Neodiprion lecontei: one gene and its partner. The protein of the gene in region 1 interacts with the protein of each later gene in a pairwise test. Links are inferred from orthologs where the notes say so. Each region holds a gene or a part of one and is shown on either strand. Other genes may lie near its edges. The genes, in order: phosphatidylinositol-3-phosphatase SAC1 and vesicle-associated membrane protein-associated protein A.

What was found.
Region 2: the proteins of phosphatidylinositol-3-phosphatase SAC1 (region 1) and vesicle-associated membrane protein-associated protein A interact in a two-hybrid assay, tested with the Drosophila melanogaster proteins (2 studies listed by BioGRID). The link is inferred for Neodiprion lecontei from reciprocal best matches to the Drosophila melanogaster genes Sac1 and Vap33.

The regions. Positions count from the first base shown.
Region 1 is NC_060262.1:36,979,200-36,991,744, forward strand, and holds phosphatidylinositol-3-phosphatase SAC1, read right to left. Parts: upstream 8,116-12,545; 5' UTR 7,972-8,115; coding exon 7,934-7,971; intron 7,668-7,933; coding exon 7,576-7,667; intron 7,488-7,575; coding exon 7,147-7,487; intron 7,051-7,146; coding exon 6,939-7,050; intron 6,696-6,938; coding exon 6,352-6,695; intron 6,287-6,351; coding exon 5,909-6,286; intron 5,814-5,908; coding exon 5,646-5,813; intron 5,546-5,645; coding exon 5,267-5,545; 3' UTR 4,052-5,266; downstream 1-4,051. Other genes in the region: organic cation transporter protein-like, read left to right, coding at 1,160-1,473, 2,520-2,735; malate dehydrogenase, cytoplasmic, read left to right, coding at 11,763-11,765. UniProt on the Drosophila melanogaster protein: Phosphoinositide phosphatase which catalyzes the hydrolysis of phosphatidylinositol 3-phosphate (PtdIns(3)P) and phosphatidylinositol 4-phosphate (PtdIns(4)P). Has low activity towards phosphatidylinositol-3,5-bisphosphate (PtdIns(3,5)P2).
Region 2 is NC_060266.1:6,920,466-6,934,115, reverse strand, and holds vesicle-associated membrane protein-associated protein A, read right to left. Parts: upstream 8,063-13,650; 5' UTR 7,849-8,062; coding exon 7,791-7,848; intron 6,262-7,790; coding exon 6,109-6,261; intron 5,447-6,108; coding exon 5,334-5,446; intron 4,969-5,333; coding exon 4,819-4,968; intron 4,739-4,818; coding exon 4,637-4,738; intron 3,618-4,636; coding exon 3,432-3,617; 3' UTR 2,458-3,431; downstream 1-2,457. Other genes in the region: methylosome protein 50, read left to right, coding at 9,381-9,480, 9,725-10,064, 10,475-10,647, 10,936-11,128, 11,243-11,429.

The DNA of each region.
Region 1 (12,545 bases):
CGAATACAATTAGTCACCCCCTGTATTAAAGTATCATCGTGAAAATAGTAAAAACGAAAGTATGAAGAAAAAAACTTGCTATTAGCTACATTGATGAGAGCGCGGTTATAATTTCCACGACAAAATGGATATTTGGCCAAAGCTTCACTGACACTCCATAAATTACGGAAGTTCAGGTTTATAGACGCTCATTCATCCTGCCGTGGAAAATTTGTCACTAAAAAGCGTTGCCCACGGAAACTGAAAAGCCTGGTCTAACGAAATACGCGGTATATGATAGGTGTCTAATGACTGAATTATCCCTTGACGCGGACAAAGGTCTGGTGGACCAAAATTTCGGGGTGAAATTGAGGTGAGGGCACGGAAGCCAACCTTGAATGCCGGGCTGTCAGCCACAAATCTCACGGGAGATCTTCAGTCCCATTGTCCTATCGAAAACGTTACACTCATATAACACATATAGAATGCCTGACAGGCATTTCACATTTCACTTTCCTTATTTCCTTTCGGTTGAACGCGTCTCGCCGTTCCCTTGGCCCTCTGTCATCTCCCCCAACTCACCTCGGGCCCTCTTTGTGTCAACGTGCGAATAATATAGGGTGGAAATTACGTCACCCTGCGCCCTCATATCACTCCGATATATCCCGCACGGGTGTAACTCCTACGAGGTTAGCAGGCGTTCATTTACTTTTTCTTTTGCACAAGCGTATGTTTTTTGCGATTAGATAATAAATTTCGCGTGCAGAATTTTTTCCCCCAACGTTGAATTAAATCTTCACTTTTCAACCCCTGTACGATGACACAAGAAAATTATCAGTTTCCTGTCGGAAATACGGCTCTTTCTAACGAAAAATGTCTTTACGAAAAATGACTCGACGAACAACTCTGAAATTCATATGACTTTACGTTCAAATACGATACGGGCGTGTAAAATATTCATATCCCGTTTTCGTTTTTCGCTTCGATCGTGGGATCGGGGAAACGGTTGAATAATATGCACATGATGCAGAGTTTGATATCAAGATGACGAATAAAAGAGAGTACAATATTGTTCTCACAACTCGTTTTCCTGCATCTCGGGTGATGTTCAGTAGTATCGTTCACCGATTAAGCTAAGGGCCTGTCAACCAATCCCTTACCACCGATTTCGTCCTTCCAGGAGTCGTCGAGGCAACCAGCTACGTGTTTCCGGTACCGTTGTTGCGCGTCGTTGGGAGGCGAACGGTGGCAACGGGTCTTCTCTTGACAGCGAGCTTTGCTCTCCTGCTCCTCTTGATCATCCCAACCAACATGACGGGGTGGAAAGTGGCAGCCTCTCTTCTAGGTCGGCTTTGCGTGAGCGCCGTCTTCTCGGTCATCATTATTCACGCGTTTGAATTGTTTCCAACTGTGACCAGGAACACCGCGATTGGAACCAGCTCCACCATGGCGCATGCAGGGAGCGTTTTCGCGCCTTACCTCGTCGACTTCTTTGTGAGTGCCGTCTTGAAGTACATACAGCGTCTATTAAAATAGAATTAGAGAAAGGAATTATGCGTTTCGGCATCGCTTTGCGCTGTCTTGAGATCCTGAATTGTCTGAATGAAAAAAATTTTAAATAACAAAAGACTATGGGTCCAGTTACAAGTTTGCAGATTTCCTGCAGATCTTTTCTGCCGATTTCCGGAGTCAATAATATGCGCCCTGTTCTCTACTTTTTTTTATAGTCTGCGTTTTGAGACTTGTTCTGTGTACCTCAGGGGGTAAAATGCTGGCACCGACTCCTTGCTTTTCATTCAATTGTAATTCCAAAACTAATCAATGCAACAACGATTAATTACACCATAATGGAAAACTTAATTAAACGGAGCTACGTGTCGCGCGAATCCTGCGAGGCCTCGTCAAAGTCGACTCTGAGTAATTAGTATTGTGTACGCGTGAGTTTGTGTTTGTTTCAAGTACACAACACACCTACAGTCAGTATATACCCGATATGGAACTTAATTGTTACAAAATCAACCTTCCGTAAAAGTTCAATTACGGAATAACGCGACGAGTGTCTAGTCCGCCGCTTCGTTTGCGATAAAATTAATCATTCACTTACCGGGGACTTTGTCAGGTTAATGAAGAAACAACAAACAGGATATCCACGAATAACTTTCCTTCACACGTTTCGTTTTGGTGGAAAAAATTCTAATCTCAGGTCACAGTTTCTGAGAAGAAAAGAAAAATGTTGTGTGTTTACAGAGTAATTTCAACTTAAATCACAGACGCTTAGCGCAAAAGTCATATTTCAATGTAAGTCATTCTCACTTCATTAAAATCCTCTAAAAAAAAACATTCTTCCAGAAAAAGACAAACTCGCACATCTTTTATAGGTGAATAACGATCTCCGCTGAATTTTTTTTCACCCGACCATATATAAAGTCTAAAGTGTACGACCCCGTTTCGAACGTTGTTTTCGCATATTTCTTGCAACTTTTTCGTACAGCATATACTCAAAGCCGGAGCACACAGCCAAGAATTATTGCTCTTTTCAGGCAATATACGGATGGTTTATTCCCTCCACAATATGCGGTCTGGGACTGCTTCTGGCCGGGTTTCTGACGCAAACTTTACCGGAGACGAAAGATCTCGCCCTCTACGACACCCTGGATGATCTCTCGAGCAGGTGTCGAGATCATCCCGAAGAAAAGGTGTCCATAAAAAATTGTACGCTCTGCAGATACCTCGGTAAAACTCGTACCAACGTGTAAGATTTGTAGAATTTCGACTGACAACATAATTTATGCTAATATGCTTAATGTGTATATTGTGATCAGCGTGTAATTGAAATACATCAGATTATGAATGATATTCTTTTCACTACGAGTATATTTTTTTGCAAGTTTCTTAGTTTGAATCGTGACATTTTTTTAAATTTTTCTTTTTCAGCCGCTCGCTCAATCCTTAGAGTTTTAATTAATCCTGTTTTTTTAAGTGTAGTATTAAGTTACCCCGAGGTATTACTATTCTTGTTTAGTGGAGAATTTGATATCCGCAAAATATAAAGAGGAAATAAAAAAGTATTTCCACTTGGAACGCAGGAGCTTTTTCGCGGGGAATTTCACGCCTTTGCTCTCTCGAGACTGAAATTTATTTTTTTTTCGGATTCGGACAGAAACATATTTTAATTAGGCTTGTGATCAGCTATTTGAACTTTCGCGTATCCATATGACTGTTGACTTATAATCAGCGGAAATTCAACATTCATAATGCCGATGCTGTATTGTCTATTATTAACTCACCAAAATCCGATCAAGTTCGCGAATCCCGTTTATCCTCTATAAATACGTTATACCTAGTACGTTGAACAGTTAATACAACATTAATTGTGCATGAAACATGGAAAAGCTAGCGCGGGGAAAACATCGGAAAATTCGACGCTAAAGGGAATCTTTGATGTTGAAATAACTTCATTCAGCAGAATTTCCTATATTACGTTACACGCGTATGTGATTCTAACGCTGATTCTATGGTTGTGTAAGATTTAAGATATATATTGGTGATATTATCGACGATGACGATGATAAAAATACTAATAATAAATTTACAAGGTACTCGTGGTAAACTTTGTTAATACGTACAGCTACAGCCGGTTGGACGGTTGGATAAATAACCGATGTTCTATCTCATGCTGAAACGCGTTAATGAAACTATTACACGGCCGCCAATGAGTACAAAATCCGACAGCAAATACTCAACTTTGATTAAGCTGTCGTTACGCGCCCATATTGACACCGTATTGTTCTACCTAAATCTAAATTCTACCCGATAGATGAGTTAGCAAATTGTTGCGGTCGCGTACGTCAGTCTCATATATCGCCTGACATTATTTGAAGAAGAAATAGAAGTGCGATAATTGAATACCATGTTTTAATTTTATGTCATCTGAAGGATAATTCAGTCATCGTTAATGTTAACGGATTAAATCAGGGCAATGATAGATTCTGTTATGTTGTTCTATCAGTTTTATAGTCGGAAGTAATTAACGTCCGCTTAATTCATCAGCGAAATGAATGGATAGATAAAATTATCCGTTATTAACTTGAATGTATTTTTACATATTTCATATATATATAGTTACATTACTTACAAGACACGATCCGTCGAAAATCAATATAATTACTGTCGAATAAAAATTTGCCGATAGTGTAAGTTTAAAATTTGCTGTTGTTCCTACTTTCTCATTTACGCTTGCCTAATTCCGATCTCATAATTCCTTTTTCCTACGTGTCGTAAGTCGACATTATCCCGCCTACTTATCGATAATTAGCAAACAATAGCTACAATAGCAGTAGTTCCAAGGAAAATACGATTGCTCCATGCAGCATCGCTCTCTACTGATATTTGGGCAATCAATCATGATACCCAGACGTTTGTACTTACGACGCGAATACCCTGCAAGATCATAGGTATTTTACTGCTTTGGTAGCCAGTGATAGTCGATAATTTCATATTTCCTTGTCCACCATTACATAAGAATTTTTCTTTTAAATCTTGAGCACGCCGAGAAAATTCTGAGACGCCAATACGAAATTAGATTACATGGTTAGATAATATAGCATAATTTTTTACCGGAAGAAAATATTTTCATAAATTTAAATATCCAGTGATATACATATACATTATATATACGTAATTTTTTTTTTTTTTCATAATTGACTAAAATTACATCAACTCTACAGCGGTCTAGCTGGATTAAAATTTTAAGTATGTTCTACTTAAAATGTTGTATAAACTTCGTAGAATTGTAAATTAACAACGAGATTTAAAGCTAATAGGTGAATTTTCTGCTAAGCTGATCATAGACACGTTATTTTTCGACGAGAAATGCAGTAGTGGTCAATTATTCGACCCTGTTAGATTTAAGAATAGAAACATGGAAGGAGTGATGAAACTGAGAAAATTTTGAGAGGAAATATAACTTTCAACTGACATTGAGGTAAAGTCAGTACTCTCAGAATTTCTTGAAGTCGAAATGCACGTCTCACCATCGAATTGAAATACCTATATTTATGGCTATCGGTGGATTTTCATTAGATTTGCATTACAATGGCTAATAGCTATATCTTTGTGAGATAAATTGTCTATTTTTAGTAACGGTTGTATAATTTTGTAAAAACCCTGTAGGCGTAAATAAATGTTACATGTAGTTATCTGACACCAGCGCCAGAACTGATAGAAAAAAAAAATACGCTTATCACAATTCTATGGTTTCCCGTCACCTTTCGGTATATCGTGTTGACTATAAAAGTTTCGGCTTGTCAACATACTGCTTTCCATGGTGTATAACTGTCGCAAACGTTCCACCAACCATGGCACCCCAGAACAGCATGTAAAGTAATACTTCTGTAGTGTATCTGGACGGGAGAATCGCGTGAGCGACGAGCATCGACGACGCGACCAATAAAACTAAGGGGAACGTAGCGTATCGCCAATTACGTTCGGCGTCCAACGGACATTTCACCGTAAGGCATTCACCGTCTTGCACAATATAACGTCCCAGGAAAAGCTCTATGGAATCCTGTGAACGAAGAACGCAAGATGCAATAAATTCCACGACAGTTTAATCAAGTACTACGTATTCTTGGTCATTTCTAATGTCTGATCGATAAAAAGTTTACTTGTCTGTATCCATCGGTGAAATTGTTTTTGTAATATCTGGTCAAGGAATTAACACCGTCTCGTATGGCTCCAAGTTTAGTCCGTTTTCCAGTACGTGTAAAATCAGTTTTCAAAGCACCAGTACCTGAATATTCTATGCTTATTACGTCCGCGTTATCTGCCCAAACCTAAAAATATGTAAAAAAGATAAATTCTAATCTCAGTTATGAGGCTGGTTATGGGAAGAGCGAATTGTTTATCTCCAAATGAATAACAATATTACCTGTTTAAACAAGTATTCTAGCGACGGATGGTCTTCAACTCGCTGCAGTATTCCCAATCTTCTCAATGCGTCACTAAGCGCTCTTCTAGCCAGCATACTTTGTACAACATTTGTTCTATCCAAACAATCGATGCAGTTTGTTCTGAATATTCCATCCTGTGCAGAGAGTAACGCTCCATCTCTGGAAAGTGTAAAGGAGCCCATTTGCTCTTGATCGTGGGCCAATCTGTCCATTAGAATGTTCAATCTGTCCCATCGCATTTTTCGGCATTCCGCGTGAAAGTCGAACGATTCGTAACGGACATTTTGATTGCCAATTCTATTGACAATATCACAGTAGGCTTTTTCAAGTACATCTTCCGCTCCTCTGTGATCAATCTAAAACTCATGTAAGAGAAGTTGGTATAAATTCAACAATTGGAGATTTTTTTTGTTTGACTCACCAAATTTACTAGTATCTGTTTCCCATAATGAAATATTTGTGTTTCGAAATGGCGTGCGCAAGCAGTGTGGTGATCTTCCTGATTATTTAACACCGGCTTGGGCTTATATTTTAGGTTTGGAGCCTGTTGCCAAAAGAGCGGAATTGATCCTCTGGTCTGAACAAACGAACTACGGTCTCCGTTCACTTCTACCAACTGTTCCGTCTCTACGTAATTAGATACGTTTCCATTGGCGTCTATCCCACGAGAAAACAATCTTGTTCCTGCGCGATGTACTCCTCGACGGGATATTATTCCCCAGTTAAATGCAATACCATTTACAATTACTGTACTTAGTGACAAAACTATAAACACACTGCTAAGGAAAATAATTATTGAGAGTAATATACTGCTAAGAATAATTGCCACACTATTTTATACCGATGTTGCATGAACAATGAATAGTTCAAGTTGGCACGAACCAATTAAATACGATTGACGTGATAGCATTCGGTATTGTTAGAAAAAAAATTATACTGAATTGAACATTTCACGGTAATGATGCTTTCCTGAAAAAAAAAAAAAGGAATACTTGTCAAAAAGGATACAGCCATGTATAATGGGCAGACAGAATCTGTGCTGCTCAGGCCTAGAAGTTAGTTCTTGTAGTAGATACGCATTCCAAACAAATCTTAGATCTGCTCGCTCGTGTATCGGCATCTAGAATTAAGCAGCCAAACAATTCTCAATTCTTTGCTCATAAGCATTTTGAAAGTTTTTTGTCAGTATATTGAGATTTTGTACAATAGGACAAACCTGTAAAAATTCAGGCGTAGTATTATGCAGCCTTTGCATAGTGTGACTCAAGTCGTAGGTATAGCTGAAGTAAAAATGTGGTGTGTTCAATACAGACTTGATCATTTCCAGATAAGTGGTATTGTTGCTTATTTGCTTTTCGTTCAAATGAAGCAATGATCGCATGTATGGTATAATTTCCGTAGACCCAAGTTTGTAAACCTGGTGTCCCGCTATAGTACCCACACGTTCCGCATCTGTGATAACTATCAGGTAGCGACAGGCCAATAGGCGTATTGTGCCCACAATTCCCCATATTCTACGACGACTGGCAGTAGGAGGAATCTGACTTGCTGTACCTGCTTAGAATTTGAATCAAAAAATAACAAAATACATTAATTTGATTTTTTATTCAACGTGATCTAGGATGCAATATCACCATTGCCTTACCTTGGGTATAAATTTGCTGGGTAACTCGATCGACTACCAATAGTTCCTTGGTTCCAACTGGTTCGACATAAAATTTTTCTGGCGTTGCGTATCTGGAAGAAAAATAAAACGAAAACCACATATGAATTAAAAATCAAATGAATGATGTATGGTATCGGCTAATACAAGTAAGTAATTATAAATTAAACAGAATGATATGGCATAACCTAGTGCCGCTAATGAGAGTCGCGTTAGGCAAAAGGAGAGGTAAATTATTGATCCCATACGTTGTAGACTCAGGACTTATCGATTTTGTACTTTCACTTTACTATAATTTACTTCGTAATTTTAAAACGCTGAAAGACAGATTTAAACTCACAGGTAAAGATCATCGTAAATATCGGTGTTCAACGCCATGTTGGTTTACTAATGTCCGTTTCAGCAGTGAGCAGAGGGCAGAGGCTACGCAACTACGAGACCCGACTGCGGGAGGGAGAGATATGGTATCACGAAACCGGTAAAAGTGGTGAAAAGCATGAAGATGACAGCAGAACCTCTAACTCTACATAAACGCTACGCTCATCCGTGATCGCCATAACGTAAGAAGATGAGACGTGTTCCTGCGTTCCTACGGAGCCATCTCTAAGAACCAATCGCGTGTCACGATCATATGAAGGCCCTCGTGGATTTCCAACCAATTGTTTTCGAGGTCATCTGGCGCACAATTTAAAAAGCAAAAATCTCCACATAGTCACAGCCTTATTTACCTCCGACGTTAACTGAAGACCATAAAGACAAGTTACCCCTGGGTACATTTTCGTGTATCAGTTTTCGGCAGGCAAGCGGGCCCAGGTGGGCCTGGGAGCGTAGGAGGTTTCTGCTCTATCGCCTCTACCTAACGAGCTTGCACTGACATTCGTAGCAGCCAAAGTAGTGTCGGTATGAAAGCTTGAGATTGAGTCGGTACAGAGTACGTAAGACTACTTTTTTTTGAATTAATCAAATACGATAATTTTTAAGCGAAACGGTGATTGTTGGTTATTTTTTTTTTTTTTGCTAGAGAGATAACTAAAGAAGCTTTTTAAAATTTTGAGCGTATTTTAACTCACATTTGGACGATACAAAAAAAATTTACTTACTATCAATTGTCGCAAAATGGCATATTGGCTGGCCATTGAAGCGCCTCGCCGCTGGAATCTCGAATTGGCAGGAAAGATGAACTGTGTAATTTTTGTCTGAAATGTAAAAACTAAAATTACTTTGAACTGAAATATATTTTTATCATCGATGAACTAAAAAACTCATAAGAAAACGTTAAATCACATTCAGTTTCGTTCAGTTTTTTTTCCGTTTCCAAATGTTATCTGAAGCATGCATATTGGTTTGATAGTACAAAACATGACGTTTTCAATAATCAAACTTGTAAACTTGAAAATTTGTCCGGAAGGTCAAAAGTCATCAGGTCAAGGACCTGGACAGCCAGAACTACGGAGCGCTTGTCCTGGAAGTCGAGTTTCACCAGGTAGCGGACCTGGTGCGCAGAAACTACGCGGCGCTTGGTCAAAACTTACCAGGTCAAGAACCTGGATAGCCAGAACTAAGGAGCGCTTGTCCCTGAAGTCGAGTTTCACCAGGTAGCCGACCTGGAGCATAGAAACTACGGAGCGGTTGTCCTGGAACTCGAATTGCACCAGAAAGCGGACCCGGAGCGCAGGATCCAGGAGATAAGAGAACTCGGTACTCGAAATCTGCGGAGCGCGATTGTGATCCGTCCGCTCTACTGCGCGATTGTTTCCAGACTGAGGAATTCGGCTAGCTGATTACTATAGATCAATGACGTCAAGGGAAAAAAAATTTTGGGTGACGTCACTTTCTGAACATCCGAACTTTGGTTTCGAACTTTATTACTATGTATGATGTATGAAGTATGATGTATGAAGTATGATGTATGATGTATGATGATATGATATGATGTATAATGATATTGTTACAAAGGGTGAAATCACCCGTTTTGCCCCCTCTTTAATGATCTAGTAGTCAGCATAGATAAAAGACGTTTATAAACCTCTTATGTCTTTCAAAAGAATAAGGTTGCTACGTCAACCAACATTATTGTATAAACAGTCTTGTTTCAGACTTTAAACGAGAAACACATATCTTGCATTAAAGCATTTTCACAACATTTTATTCACGCTCTTGATTTCTTTTGACTTGATAATTAAACTCGCGGATCCATATTTATTTTCCGTAACGTCAAAGTACGTTACAATATGATATGATGTATAATGATTTCAGTTTTTACATTTCAGACAAGAAATACGTACTTTATCTTTCCTGCCGTTTCGAGACTCAAGCGGCTAGGCCCTTCGTGGTCAGCCGTTGACTAAAGATATATTCTTCAGTCTACGGGTCAGCTAATAACGCTGTCGTTCTGCGACAGTTGGATGAAAACAATTTTTGCTCGTACCTTTCGAATGTGTGTCAAAATATACTCGAAGATTTAAGAAGCTTCGTTCTATCTTTTCCCTATCAAGAAACAAAATTGCCAACAATCACCTTTTTAGGTCTTTCAATCAGGACACTGCGTTAAATACTGTCTCTTGTACGGAGCATATATTTCATCTCGATCAAAATTAGCGCATCCGTGATGTTTACAGTTACTCTGAATTTTTTTCCATACGAACACTTTTCGAAAAACAATTCTGCTTTTCTACCCAACGCAGATACTTCACTTGCGACTACCTAAAACAGAGTTTCGATTCTATGCCTACGAAAATTAAAGATCGAGAGAGCAATTGAACAGTTGTTGGAATAATTAGGAATATTAATGTTATGGAATACATCGAGCGCGTGTCGAATCGAATCCCATTTCGAAATGAATAATTCTTGTATTTTCATATTATAGCCGTATTATTGTAGATAATCTAGTTTGTCACCTGGAAAATTATAAAATTTATAGTATGCATCACGTATTAATCGTAAATGGATCATATATATTGATATCTTAGCTAGATAAAAGTACAATTTCGAAATTTTCAGGTGAGTTGAAAAATTAACGACAGAGCCAGCAATCGAATTTGGTATCTAGAGATGCTTTACCGGAGACTTACTCCACTAGACCACCTAGCCGCCCTGACTACATGTCATTAATTTCTCTCATCACCTGTATTTCGAAGATTGTTGTTTTCGTGTGCCATTGAATATGTTTACATTTGAGAATTCGTCGCGAAGAGACACAATTTTGCACATGTGTACACATACCAACAAGCTTTACACACATGTCAAAATTGTGTCTCTTCGTGACGAATTCTCAAATGTAAATATATTAATATCGTACATGGATCGCATATACATATATACTTTTTGGTCTATGCATCATTATTACATCTGATCTATTATTATTTATGATCTATGTATACATTCTTATCTCGGGTACCTATACTTTAATCAAATCACTGTTTTGCTACGAATTTAGGAAGACATTTATTCTCATTATTAATTTCTTGTATCGATGATTTTCGGTTGTCACACCAAAGCTGATTAGGGCAACTGTCTTTATATTCTTCAGTCAACGGATCGGTACATATGAAACGGGATGAAAATGCCAGCGAAGAAACACACCCTAACTTTGTACAAATCCTGCGCCCAGTCGTACCGCTACCACTTAGTACGGTAGGTAGCTGGTAAATATCGATGTATACTAAGCCTGGGTGAATTTTTCCAATCTTCAATTGACAAGGATTGATATTTGACATTTTGATCTTTCACGTAGCACATGAGCAGTAAAGTCATCAAGACACAGAATCTCGAACCATTTGGGATATCAGATGAGAATTCTACTGAGAAACGACGATACTAGCGTCATCTAGTTGTAGTTTCACTAAATACAACGTCCACGTTTTGAGTATCGAGTTAATCGCCTACTGCTGGTGGGTGGAAAGATACTTGGTAGCTGGCTTTGACGTGGATTGAGCTTAACATATTCAACGCTATCTCGTCATTGGTTACGTGGGTTACGTGTTAAGCTAATAAAGATCGAACAGTGGACTTCAGCCTCTCAGTTTATCAGTAGTTGAAGCGAAGCTTGTTCGTTCTCATTCGTTCTGTGATCTACTCCTTGCATTTACTTGAAAGTTGAGAAAAATTCATATCTACTCTTGATACATTTTTTTACTCGCAAGTGTTTCCATTCGCGTCCTGCATTTAAAATGGTAAGACTAATTGCTATTTTTCAATCGATTTTTTTTTTTTTTTTTTTTCAAATCAAGTAGCCTGGGTTATTGAATTTTAGTATTACATTACGATATAGCGGTCTATTAACCTACATATGACCTTCGTGTATCAACTATGTAAAACTATGTTGTGACGTGAGTCATTGTTATTGATTGCACTGTCAATGAGTATTATGGTCAATTTCAGGAATATGTTAATTAATTTCCATCAATTTTGATGAATTTGCTACGATGCAACCTATTTCCTACAGGTAAAACTCCCTCTCAAAAGTGGTCTTTGTTAGATTAATCAAAATATACTGTGCTTCGTTTGCTCCCTCTAGTATTATCAAATTTCATTGCTCTAAAAAACACTTTTATTTCCCATGAACTTTTGGCCCCAACTGTGTCTGAATATTTACGCATATACTAATTAAGTAACAACAGCTTATCATTCCAGCAGGAGATTAAACCTGTTATATAATTGATAAGACAATCTGGAGTTTAATCTTTTTAAAAAAGTGCTCTACCAACAGATATTGCACAATATTGTAAACACTTGACAAACTTAGTCGATAATTTTTTACATAGTTAATCCCGATGTAAGCTAATAAATTTTATATTCGTCAAGTATATTTGCAATGTTTCAGTAATTTACAATGTACCAAAGGATGACACTTTTGTGCCCAAATTGCATGCCACATGACTGATATGATTTGTACATAAACATATGAATGAACATTTATAAATAAAACTATGAAAATTATCCCACATCCATTC
Region 2 (13,650 bases), on another chromosome or scaffold:
ACATTCAACACATTATGCCACTTATTATTTACTCTATGCAACAACTTTCACCTTCAAGTGTATTAAAACATGTATTATGTATATTGTTGAAATAGCGTGTTTACAATTTTGAGGACCTTACAAACACGAACTTTCTGCGCAATATGGTACACGAAGTGAGAATTGGCAACAAATGTTATCTAAAAACATTATTCCACTGTTATATCATTACTGGAAGGTTTCGTAAGAATTTAACAAATTTTTCAGGTCATTTAATGATTGTAATGTAAAGCAAAAGACCAAACTCAACGCAATCCCCGGAACTTCGACGATTGTTTTTTCGTAACAATTATTAAAGAACGCCAAGAACATAAGAAAATATATTCTTACTTTTACCTGTAAAAGAAGAACGAAATTAAATGAAAATCAAGAAAACCTAATACTGCGAAAATATCGCGATACGAAAACTTTTCTCTTAAATGAAGTGCATTTCATATTTCACCAGATTCCAATAATTAACACTTACGGATTGGATAAAAAAAATTCCTTTGCGCACGTTCATTTAACTTTGTAACGAACGATAAACTGATGATTGAAAAATAAATTTTAAATTAAAAAATCGGTCGAATTATAGTGTAAAATAATCATACGACAGTCAAGTTTTTAACAGCAAAATTATGTAGAGGAAGAGTAGCGTTCGACACATAAACTGGATCGATTGTGAATGCAATTAAAGTTGTAGAAAAACTCGAACGTAATTCGTAAGATTATCGGTAAGTAAATTTTTATTAAAAAATGACCTATTGTAACAATATCGCAACGGGAATATAAAAAAAACGTGGGTGGTGATTTGCTAGCCATCCTAATTCTATGACTGAACTTTCTGAATTATCATCCAGTAATTGAAACCTAAATGTTTGAATCATTTTTAATCCGTAAAATTCAACGAATAAATGAAAAAACTGCACAATCGGATTTCAAATTGACTTCCGAGATCTATAGCAAAATATACCTGATCAAATATTATACGTGAAACTTGTCCATTGATAATTTCATCGGATGAAATTCTTACGTGGAATTGATGTCAACCCTAAGGTGATTTTAAGCTTCGTTTATTCATCGAAATTATTATTTTTTTTTTTTTTGTTTCACTATCATTAAAAAAAAAAAAAAAAAAGAAAACAAAGTGCTTAAATAGGCACAATAGTTTTCGTACGTTTATATCGGATTCATTCACAGAATATGGACCAGAAATATAACGAGTTACAATCTTACAATAAGAATCAGGACACAAAGTATGTTTGGTATTTTAAAAACGCTATACGCTCTATTCCTGATCACGCTATATTATAATATATTATATCGATAATAATTCGTTCAAATGAAAGTGTAAACCAAATCTCCTGCGCATTCTTAACGTGGACTTATGCTTGTAATAGGATGACCGCCGGTTCTTCTCTCAAACATTAGCTGGAATTCCTCATGACATTATAAGCGTGAGGTAACTTATCGTTAAAACTTATTTCTCGAGTATAGTGAGAGAAGTTCACTCGTTCGCAGTATCAACGTTGACGTTTACCTTATTTAGTAGTAAATTAAATCACAATTACATTACATCGATCTTGTCCTAGCTACAGCTAGAGAATAAATCACCGCCTAGTCAGCCGAACCTAGCACCCATTTATTATACCACTTAATGAAACCCCTCCCTAGTACTCTATTTCTCTGCCTTTTGCTCTCTCTATCTCTCTATCTCTCTCTCTCTCTCATATTTAACTCTTATTATAACTCCCAATCGTAATCCTACTGTTCACTTTTAAATATACACACGCGTAGATCAAAGCTGCGAGTCTCACAGGGCGGAATAAGCCCTCGTTTTGTATTCCGTTCCACAAGACTTTCGCCTGATAAGTTTTAGCGTGAACATAGAAATTCAGCTATCGATTGTTCTACAATCTGAATTTTTCAACAAGTTGCATATGAAAGTTCCATTCAATACATCAAAGTTGTAAAAAGTTTTTTGCTTTGCGATACAATGTTAGTGTAGAATGAAATGAGGAGACACTTACGTGATTACGTTTATAAGATAAAACTGAAAATATTAAAAAACGAAAAAAATAAAACCAAAGAAACGACAACTCATTTCACTAATCGAATTTCAACATCTCGCGCCTATCTTTAAAGCACCGATGTGCCGTCTTGTTCGATAAACTAATGTAAGTGGCATCGGACCCGTCAAACATTTTCAGCTTTCCCCATGGTTTTCTTTTATTTTTTTTCACTCTTCTTCTTGCTAACAGTCATTTGCAATTAACCATGTCTCTGCACACCATGCACCACTCTCGGATATAAAACAATTTTCTATTTGGATTTCAAGGATTTAAGCAATATACTCACATCGTTTCGACAGCTGGGAATTACCTTTATTTTGATTTAATTGTATTTTGCGTGTTCTTTTTTTCTCTCCCTTCTCCTTTATTTTTTTTTTTTTTTTTTTTTTTAATCTTTAGTTTCATTTATATTAGACAAACATAAATAAATAAAAATTACACTTGAAGCGTTGATAAATTGAATGCGTCAACAACTTACGCACAGCAAGCCGTTGCCAGAGTTACACACCGACGTTTATTATGCCCAAGTTCGCCACGTTGCGCATCACTACTTATTCAGCCGTCACCCCCACCCTGATATTATCAATATATGAATTTTCACTTTTAATGCATTATGTACAACAAAGTTCGTTTCGACGTAATATATCAGGTGCGTAATATGCACGTGTGTGTGTGTGTGTGTGTATGTATACAATTATGCGGTCTGATTTAAACATAATATCATTCGTACTATTTATTATAACATTTATCAATAATTCCATAATTTACATACTTATTAGTGGCGACATGGTTTCAAAGACATGGAAGGAACAAAAAAAAAAACACAGAAAACGAAGAAAGAAGGAATAGACTTGTCGTAATTGAGAATCAATACTTGTAACATCTGCTATCGTCATATTATTTCAATTTATTAAATTTCATTGACAGAAAAAATCTGTACTGTATGTACTTATACGCATAGTCGAGGGTCGCAGTGTTGCGCGTTCGAAACATCAGACAAGTCATATGGAAAATTAAAGTTTAAAAGAGATTTAAGAAAAAAAGCTTAAAAAAAAAAAAAAACCGTCGGATATTTTATTTGCATTATAAAAAAAAGTAAGCACAATGCCCTACAGGATGACTCGATTAATGTAAACCACGATAGAATTTGGTTTCAAATTTTTTTTTTTTTCTTTCTTTTCGTTTTTCACTGAACAATTAATTAACAGGACAACTTGAGACGTTTACGCTTCGTGCTAATGGCAATGAACCACGCAGCGGTTCAGCCATGAAAATTTTTGGGTATGGGGGAGGGGCGAGGGGGGAGGAGGGGGGCTGGAGTTATCGGCAAGGCAGATGTGCTCAGATTAACTTCCCCAGCAAGTATCCGACTACCACCATGGCAATGGCGATGAGTACACTGGTAGGAATTTTAGTTGGATTTAACTTGTCGCCACTGTTCGCTGTCAGTCCCGCAAGCGCTGCCATGTTTCCACTTGTAATAGTCGCTGTGCCCGATGCAGCATGCCGCAATCTTATAAGCTCTTCCTATTATGAAAATTCACAGTCAATTATACTTATTAGTATAACGATCGAATGATTGAATGCAAGTCATCGGCTGAAGTCTTGACAAATACTTTTCTCAATGTTACCACGTATAATTGACGATTTCTGATGATATACAAATTATGAACAAATCATAGAAGCTTCGTCTTGTCGTAACAAACAAGATAGGTGTAAGTAATGATTAGAAAAAGGCTAAATCAGGGCTTTGCAGAGAATAAGTAAAATTACTAGAATGGGTAAACGAGCACATAGAATCTATTGACACTGGCGAAGTAGAACTGAAATATAATGACTAGAATTATGTTGCTGAAGAATTGAGCAATGCATAAATTTGAACATGGTCAGAAAATAGATCGTACTTCTAATTTAAACTTGACAGTGTTCTCTTTGTATCTAATTTAAAATGATCACTCTGCCAAATGATAGACGATTTAGTCATTTCTTTGGCAAAATTCCTTCAACCTTAGTGCCTTTAAATAATAAAAGCAGTGGGAAAAAAACCTGAGAAAGCAAGCCGCAAAAACAACACGAAAAGTGTTGACCGTAAGCGCAAAGGGAATGATGAATCTGAAAATACCATGAAATAATAGAGGGTAAACCAAACCACGTACAGTGACAGAATGAGCCTGAAGAAATAAAATAGGAATATACTAAGATGGATATATTATGTGTACGTATAATCGTTTGTTAGCAAATTATCACCACAAAGACACTTAATATGTACAGGAAAACGAGTTAGAACATGCATGTTGTGCGTTTGAATTAAAGAGTGCGTTTGAAAATATTGGTAGTATAGAATGGAAACAACAACCAAAAATTAAGAAAAAAAAAAATCGAAGTTTAACGTATCTACATCGGATAACATCGGAAACGGATAATGTAGTTATATGTAATTATTAAAACGTTCGTGGAAGCATGTAATAGCAATATTGTTTTCACAAAATATAGAAATCGGTATAAAATTGTCATAAATATGGTCGTGAAATGGCGAATTGATTTACCTTCAGCTGAAGGTTTTCCTGCCTAAGGTTGCTCTCTTCCTCCCTGAGTTGCTTTACTTCGAGTGCCGCTTTCATTAGTTCTTCCTCCATCTTTCCATGTGGCTAGATTAATAGATAATGAAATTGAATTTTAGAACCAATATGTTAATTAAAACGGAGGATATTATCGTCTCAGAACGCACCTTGGGAGATGATTTGACAGAATCGCCGATCCCCTTGTTTTTATCATCATCCGCAGCATCGCTGCTCTCAGCTGTGGTATTGCTTACTGGATTTTCGAAGACACACTTCAGTTTGAAGTCCATTAACTGATCTGGATTTATGTCCTTCCACTGAAATTGATGTTAATTACATGCTTCGTGTATTATCTTATCTTCGAAATTTGCTTAGCATTTTTTCGGATACACTGATCCATTCGCGATAAGTTTTATACATCCGTACATATTTGTATAATACTAGCTAGCAGTGTCGATGTAGTTTCTTCAATAGCTATCGTTTTTTATTGCAAATATATTTAATGCAATATCAGACTTCTTTCCATCGCATAAGAATTATTTGGTAGTCATGAAGATATCTTTTATTTTGTCAACTGATGCATTCAAATCTGTACGTACGCTGACAAGTGAAATAATATTTTGGAAGCTTAAAATGTGTTCAGAAGCACATATGGCATGTATTTCAGGCTTGCAAAACATACCAACGACTCGTTGACAAAATCTTCGTCGTCATCCTCAGGAGCTATCATAGTTTGAACCATAAACTTGTGTTTATTTTTCTCGCCAGGAACAAAGTCAAATGGTTGTAAGCATACTGTGAAAGAAATTTTATATTAAGAAATATCTTCTGTTATTTAAAAGTAAACAAAATATTATATACACGTGTGAAATAATAATCAACTTCTAACAAACTAATATTGCATATGCCAATGTGTCAGTAATTTAAGCAACATCCAAGAGTCATATTTCATGTATTATCTAAGGCTACAATCACAATTGTAATTAGACTTGCCTATTGTTTGGAAAAGAGAGAATATTATACAATAATTTGAATATGCAATAAAGGCTCAAGAGCTATTACGAATATATTGGAAATGTTGACTCTAACTAAAACCTGCTTAAAATGAAAGATAGTAGTGCACTGCGTTTTATATCTATAAAATTTAATTGGCTGTATAACTGTTTGCCAATTCTGTGCGCAAAAAACTTGACTGTCCAGAACAGATGAGAAGATAAAGAAAAAAACGACAATTTATGAAGCAGGTTCAGAACAACTTTTTGACTATGGTTCTGTAATGATTATTACAGCACTAACTTCTGGTTACAATGAAAATTGCTTTGGTAAATTTTGAAAATAAAAATGACAATCTAAAAATTTTTACAGTATATTCTTAACGAATAAAAAAAATGACTAGGTGAATGCTAGCGATTGTCTAAGAATATGAAATCCATCTGCTGTTGAATAATGGAAAGTACCTGCTATTTGAGTGACACCCTTAGGCTTTAGGGCGCCAGAATTGGGCCGGACGCAGTACTTCTTAGGGGCAGTCGTCTTTATTTTAAAATACACTTTGTGGTCCGACGGATTGGTCAGTTTCATATACGTTGTGACCGGAGATGTAAAAGGTCCTGCGAAAAAAAAAGAAGACAAAACGTATTTTCATGTACGTTAAACTCATGCGCTGGTACGACTTTTGTGTTGTGTTTTCTGTTTCTCATATATTCTTTATTCTGTATCCAGCAATTCCTACATTTGCATGACAATTGCTTCCACACATAATTTATCAGATTATACTATCACCTTGCAACGACGGTACTATTGAAGTTATGTGAAATGTTACGTTAGCAATGCCTAAGAGTATTGGTAAATTGTCCAAACAACAAACATCTATTTCCATTTACTCTGATACCGTAGTGCTAATTACACGTTGGAATGAAAATGAATGAATTTGCAAAATTTGAATTTAGTGAATCACATTTCAATGAAAACCACTTGAGTATTTGATCAAGGATCTATTTCTCAAGATTACTTGATTAGTTAGAAGAGGGTGATGTCATTAAATGTCTGAAACAAAAATCTCTTGTCTAAGCAACTCAGTTTGCTTGAGCGCAAGGTAATCACTCTTGACAATTGTGATATAATATGAATGCAACCTGATTATTTGGACATTAACAAAAGATTATTACCAAAGGCTGAAATCAAGATATAGTAAGAAAATCTTTCCTCTCGTCAACGCATTAACGTACAAAGTATTGTCAAAATTGAAACAATTATACCTTTTTCATTTGCTTATACTATTTACAATACATTTCAAACAAAAAAATCCAACATTCGTTGTCCGATCCAAAGTACAGAAGTAACAAATCGACGATTCTATATCAGATGAACATTGTACGAATTTTGAAAGAAATCCAAACTGATTATATGTCGAGTGAAATGAACATCCTACGAGCAATAATAATTAGATGGAAAGAAGTAATCGAAGATCTGGAGACATATTCCCTGGCCAAGTAAGCGGAGTGTGAATACCTAAAAATACATATAAGCACCGGCTAAGGAGTCGGAATAGAAGACAATCTGTAAGATAATAAATATACATTGGAAACGAATGGCGGTAATGAAAAGTATATTTTGATAAAAGGGCCACTCCCACGACGGATGAAAATAGCATGATAATTAAGCGCAGCAGGTGCTGGCAGGAAGAGAGTTGTCGATGAGCGTTGATATATTGAGAAAAGGCAAAGTCCGAGTGTCGAGTCTTGGGGTGAATAGGAGACATGTGGAAAAGCGGGCAAAGATGGGGTAAAGGGAAATGATGATTGGTGGATCGCGGAAGGGGGTGGGGGAGGAACGAATGCAAGGGGGGGAGCGGCTGTGTAAACTCGGAGAAGATAAAACTTTGACAGCAACGTCGACGTAAATGAGACGGGTTAGGAAACAGGAGTTGAGGTCTGCGGGTAAAGTGCGAACAGGACGAAACGTGGACGATAAAAAATGCGAGTATCCGATCGTCTAAAGGCACGGATATCCGGCACACAGTCACACGCTGCTTGTATGATATCCGTGTCCGTGTCGCTAACACCGCTACAAAGTACGAAGCATGTATATATGCGAAATGCATTGTGTGTATTGAAAGTAAATGAGAGAACCCGCGTACCCCTGAACCGCAGCTCGCCCTGTGGCTCGATAATTAAAATCTGCTCGGGCTTAGCCATGTTTTTAACGCCTCGCCTCGCGGTATTATCCTCTCGTCCCGACCGTAATGTGACAGATTTATTAAACACTTGATGAGAAAATTTTCTCCTTGCAACCCCGCGCTCACTTCCACTAGCTGGGATTCCGTTGAACTAATTCTGATTTGCAGTTTTCACAAAATACGCATGCGTCATTTACGGAAATTATGTATAGCTGAGGTCTCTTCTTGCGTTACGTCATTCCCCAACGACCTCTACCACGCTAATCATATTCACTACTACGCTAAGTTTAACGGCTTATTTCCATGCCCACTTGCCGACGACATTGATAAACCAATTGTAGCTTCGGTCCAGCAGAATGCACCGATGAAATTCTCAACGCACTCGTTTGAAGTACCCTGAAATTTTACATGGAAATTACGCATGAAGCGCGATACGCATGAACGCACATGCGCCCGTGACACATGTCATCTACGAATACGTCATGTTTACGCAGTTAAACGAACACATCGACGACATTCCTTCCATGTATCTTCGTTGTGAGCCGCGTTTGCGTCTCTTTATCAGTAGCTACGTTCGATTATAATGTTTTTATGTGTTATCGGGCAATCTTTTGACCAACCACAATCGTCGTATGACAACAGAGCGCCCTAATAATCGTCTGCTAGCTTGCCCAAACGCCACAATCGAATGAGTCTATTGTCGTTCATGCTTATGCCGGTTCTTCAATCGCAGGCCTTCGATGCATTCAGTTATTTATTTAGTAGACGCTTTCGCGGAGCTACAATTTTGTTATTTCAGTTTCTCTTGTTCTACTCCCTAAACTGATTGCCATGGGTGTTATTCCGCCAGGGAACTGTGGCAGTTCAGTAATAGTATATTTGAATTTTCTAACTAGCGGCTGGTGATATTTACTGGTTATTTACTGCCAAAGTGTTCCACCGTGCTGGATAGTAAACGAGTGTTATTGTCGTTAGAATAGTCTCTCGAACAAATCCTAAATAAATATAATTTATTGTGATCTTTTATAATTGAAATATAATCATTATCTTTATTTACAATTTTAAATTACTGTGTTAAACCTATTTTTATTTTTATTTTAATCATCACCCGAAATTGAAGATCAAATCCGTCACTGTTACTGTGCCCAGCACGATGGAACACTTTGGCATTAAATGACCAGTAAATAGTACCAACCGCTAGTTAGAAAATTATAAATATACTATTACTGGACTGCCACAGTTCCCTGGCGGAATACACCCATAAACATATAACAATAGACCGCGCGAGCTCGGAGGTAGCCCGTTGGTGAATGCGATAGCGGGATAGAAAGAGAAAGCTGCATATGGGCCCATCCTTCTATCCTTGTCTAATCGCGCGCATGCGCGCTCAGCATTCTCTAGCGCCAGCCTTCTCTTTCTACCGCGCTATCGCCTTCTCACAGAGAGAAACCTCACACATGTGGCAGGCGTGCGACGCGCTAAGTTGTTGAGAACTACTAATCAAATTTGTGTATTAATCATTTTTTAATAACGAAGTTCGGTAATACAGCGATGGATCCTAATTTAAATGCCGAGATTTACAGAAACATGACTTCTGCCGATATACCGCCGAATGTTGATCGGCATCTGCAGTTCATTCTGGTTTCTGATGGTAATATTCTTGAGGTTACCCGGCATTAATGCCACCTAAAATTTATATCGCTAGAACATTTATAGCAACAAACTGTCAGTATGAGTTGTTACGTATTATTCTCTGCCTCTGAGATACTGTGAAGTTGAAATTAAGTCAATTGACCATCCATCAAAGTACTGAAACCTTGTTTTCATTTTTGCCTCACAGATTTGTTTAAGTAACACTATTGCATTCCAATTGCAATCAAATCCATGATTTACAGGTATTGGCGCAATATTAGGTGCGAGTAATATGACAGACCGTTATTGGAATGGCACTGTTTGGTATTACAAGGATCATACCGACTTCAATAGAGACAAAGCAACAACCGCTATGAAAACTGAAAGTGGAGTATGTGACGGTGCATGCTTAAGTGGAACTAATAAATTTGTAATCTGTGAAGACAGCGGAGTTCTTCAGATTCTTAGTATAAATGAGATGGCTGACACACACAACTATGAGTTACAATGTTTAGGATATTCATTTGAGCATGACGATGCCATCACATCCGTATCAGCCTTCGATACAAACACTCGTCTAGTTACAGGAGGGATGGATTATTGGTATTAGCAAAAAAATTGCTCAGAGCGATCAATATAAGTTACCTTTAATAAATTCCAAAAACTCAGATCTGTTCATCTTATGCTGTGGATGAAGATTCTAGATTTTGAATCTCATTTTACTTGGTCCAAACTGCTCACAATGTGATTCAATTCTGTGGGCTTCCATTTGTTAAAAGTTACTTGTAACTGATATTCGTTAATCTTACAGCAGGTGCTTCTTTGTATGTTACAAGAGCAGTTGTATAGTTTATGGTTTTTGCAACATTAGTTAATTACTGCGCGCATGCTTGAACATTAACAGTATTACTTATTGCAATAAATCATACTCAACCAATGATGCTAATATTTGGTTGATTCATATCAAAATATGAATTTGTATAATGTAAATGAAATTTCGTTAATTTTTCCAGCATAAAAGTTTGGGATACGGTTGAGTTGTATTCCAGTCATACTTTCAGTCCGGCTCACACAGATACAGTGACTTGCGTACAAGCGCAACCCAAATCCATAGATATCTTTGCATCTACTTCTCTTGATCACGATGCATTACTGTGGGATCTCCGACAACCAAAGCCAGCCAGCTGTATGTATGCAGTTTATGAATCCCTCTTTGTTAATGAATCTAGATTTTTGATCATGGTCATCGACCTTTGTCATCGACTTTTGCTCTGCAAAGTTTTTTGAAAAATAACTAACCTGAAACACTTTACACAAATATTCAACTTTAGCATTGATTTCAATTTTGTAATTATCAGACATAAGCCACAAAGTGTCTTAACTGATGCGAAGTGCTTAATTTCAGATACTTGATAATATTTCACATTCGTTTTCCTCTGTAACATTAGTGACTGTATCATAATACTATTCCAAGGTATAATCAAAAATGTCGAATGTGGACTGACTGCAGCAGCATGGAATCCGAAAAATGTACATGAACTTGTGATTGGAGATGCAGATGGTAGAATTTTAGTGCTTGATGTCAGGCAATCAAATAGTGAACCTGTTTTCCAAAACCCTCGAGCTTTTTCTAGAGGAGTTTACAGGCTTTTATTCAATTCAGCCAGGTTTGTGTGAACCAATTTCGCTTGATTCATTCCCAGTGGCTATGTACATGAGTATAATGTTTCTACAACACTGAAATTATTTTTATACTTGCCCTAATTATTCAATTTGCATAGAAATGACCAATTTGCTGGATGCTGCGATAGTACAGAGGTGAAGGTGTTCGATACAAGCCACAACATGGAAGTGATATACGAAAATAAGAACCATCGTGACTTTGTTCGTGGATTGGCATGGGACCAAAATTGTCTACTAACAGCTTCCTGGGATAACACTGTTCTGGAACATGCGATATCTTCTTGATGTTGATTTGCACATTAAATTACTCGATACAGAATCGACAACTATGCAAGTCATTCGTTATGTCGAGATGTTGCCTCGTTAATTGTCATCTGAATCAGTGCCCTAACAATTTGAAGTTACTGTTTATTTCATACATTTTTAATAAATGCTTACAACATTGTATATACTATTGTATCATTGGTTTCGTTTTAACAATTTTAATACATGGTTGTAATTTCATACATACAACATACCAGTATTCATGAACACAAATAATAACTTCCCAACATGCCATTCTTATGCAATCTCGAGTAAGCTTACATCATTCTGAACTGTGTTAATATTTTTAATCGTAAGGTAATTGAAACGATCATCCCTTTCCCGATTTGTCTCAAAAACGCGATTGAACATGCACTGTCCTTGTGTCAATTTCTGACACATGACACTAAGTTGTTTCATTGGCCTATTCCGTTAGATCCAACCACTACAGTCACTAAAAAGTGTGATCACTGAAATATAGAAATATATTTCATAGCGTTTTCTACTGGTTGCACTGGCTCGAACAGGGGGCATTCGTTCCGTGCATGCGTCGCCCGGCATCGGGGCAAACCTTCTGAGTGGAACACGCCGTAAAACGTATAAAGGCAGACTAGGGGGCTTATTACGGTTCTCGAATCGAGTGAAAATGACGAAAGTGACTGGCTCGCTCTATTACGGTGAATCTCACGAGGTGAAAAGACGTTATCCACATGAATAAACTCGACACGAAATTCGGTGTCGAGAATCGTTCTGCGCATGCTCGTGAGCGTAATTTGCTTGGATTTGCCTGAAAGTTCCATCGGTTTCATAAAAGAACGAAGATCACTCCATATTTGTTGGTTAAAGAGTAAAAGTTATTGATACGTGGGAACTTGTACAATGAATAATTTAGTGATCGTGATTATGCAAAATCGGGAAAATCGAATGCTCAGAATACGACGAACACTACGCGATGCCTCAGACCCATTCAATATAACTTATATATATTTATATTATTTATTACATATTTTATATATTACACTTCTGTCACGTTCATTTTCTTCAACAATTCTTTCTGACATTCACAACAACTTTTCTAGGTTATCTGACAAAATGGAGTCAACTTTCGTGAAAATGTGAGATCCCTATACCGGAAGTGCCTAGTTACTTCACATTTTCACTCGAGAGATCCGTAATAGAGTGACTAAACTCACGTGAGATGAAAATGTGAGAAGTGAGTAAACTCGCTCGAGAACCGTAATAAGCCTCCAAATCATAATTTCTCCTAAATCAGAAATAATGTGACGTTACTTGACTGACTGCGCGACTGTCAGTTTTTTCAAGCAAGTGATAAAGGAGCCAATTGAACAAACGCAACGGTAATTTTTTGTTTGTAAATATATGTCACAAATGTTAGGCACGAGCATACAGGGGCAAAAAAAATTGACAATTCCACTGAAAAGATAAAAATTAATAAGTAGCAAGTCGAGCTGTCCCAATCTCCTGAAATATACCTAGCAGTTAACCTCTAAAAGCTGAAAAAATGTGTATCCATACTTCGATATCGGACATGCTGTGGATTACTCCTAGGACATTTAAAATTTTGGGAATCTCTCCTCTATCTTTCGGCTCCAGCAAGTCATCATCACTGCTAGACGAAGATGAAATTAGATCTAATAAAAGAATTGCTGTCACAGCACCTACTTAGACTCTTTCACGATCGGCAGCCATAATTGCACTGCTTTGACACCGACTCCCGATTCAGGGCAATATTTTACGCACTCAGTGCCAAGTTCACGTACCCGAGCTGCCAGTGGAACACGCTGGAAATTAGTGGAAATACGAGTCTACCGCTAGTGCGCTCTCAGTTCACACTCAGTGCATCCAATGGAAAACGCTATCAGTGGTTTTGATTCGTGTCGGAAAATGACGTAAGAAAAGCTCCTTGGATCTAGTGTCAAACTTCTGGAATTGTCGGGGAGTGCTACTGCAACGTCATAGGCCGATGAACTAGGAAAATTACATTCGGTTGTACAGCCTGCGAATATTACTGTGACTCATACCTTATTGTCTTTCTTGCTTCACTATATTGTTAACAAGCTCTGTTTCAGTTCCACTCACAGTTTCACTAGATTTTTGATATACCAATCGACTTTTCCACCTACATTAAGTTGCTTCGGTTTCCGGAATTGCGTGATGTTTCGACCTAACCTAACATTTATAG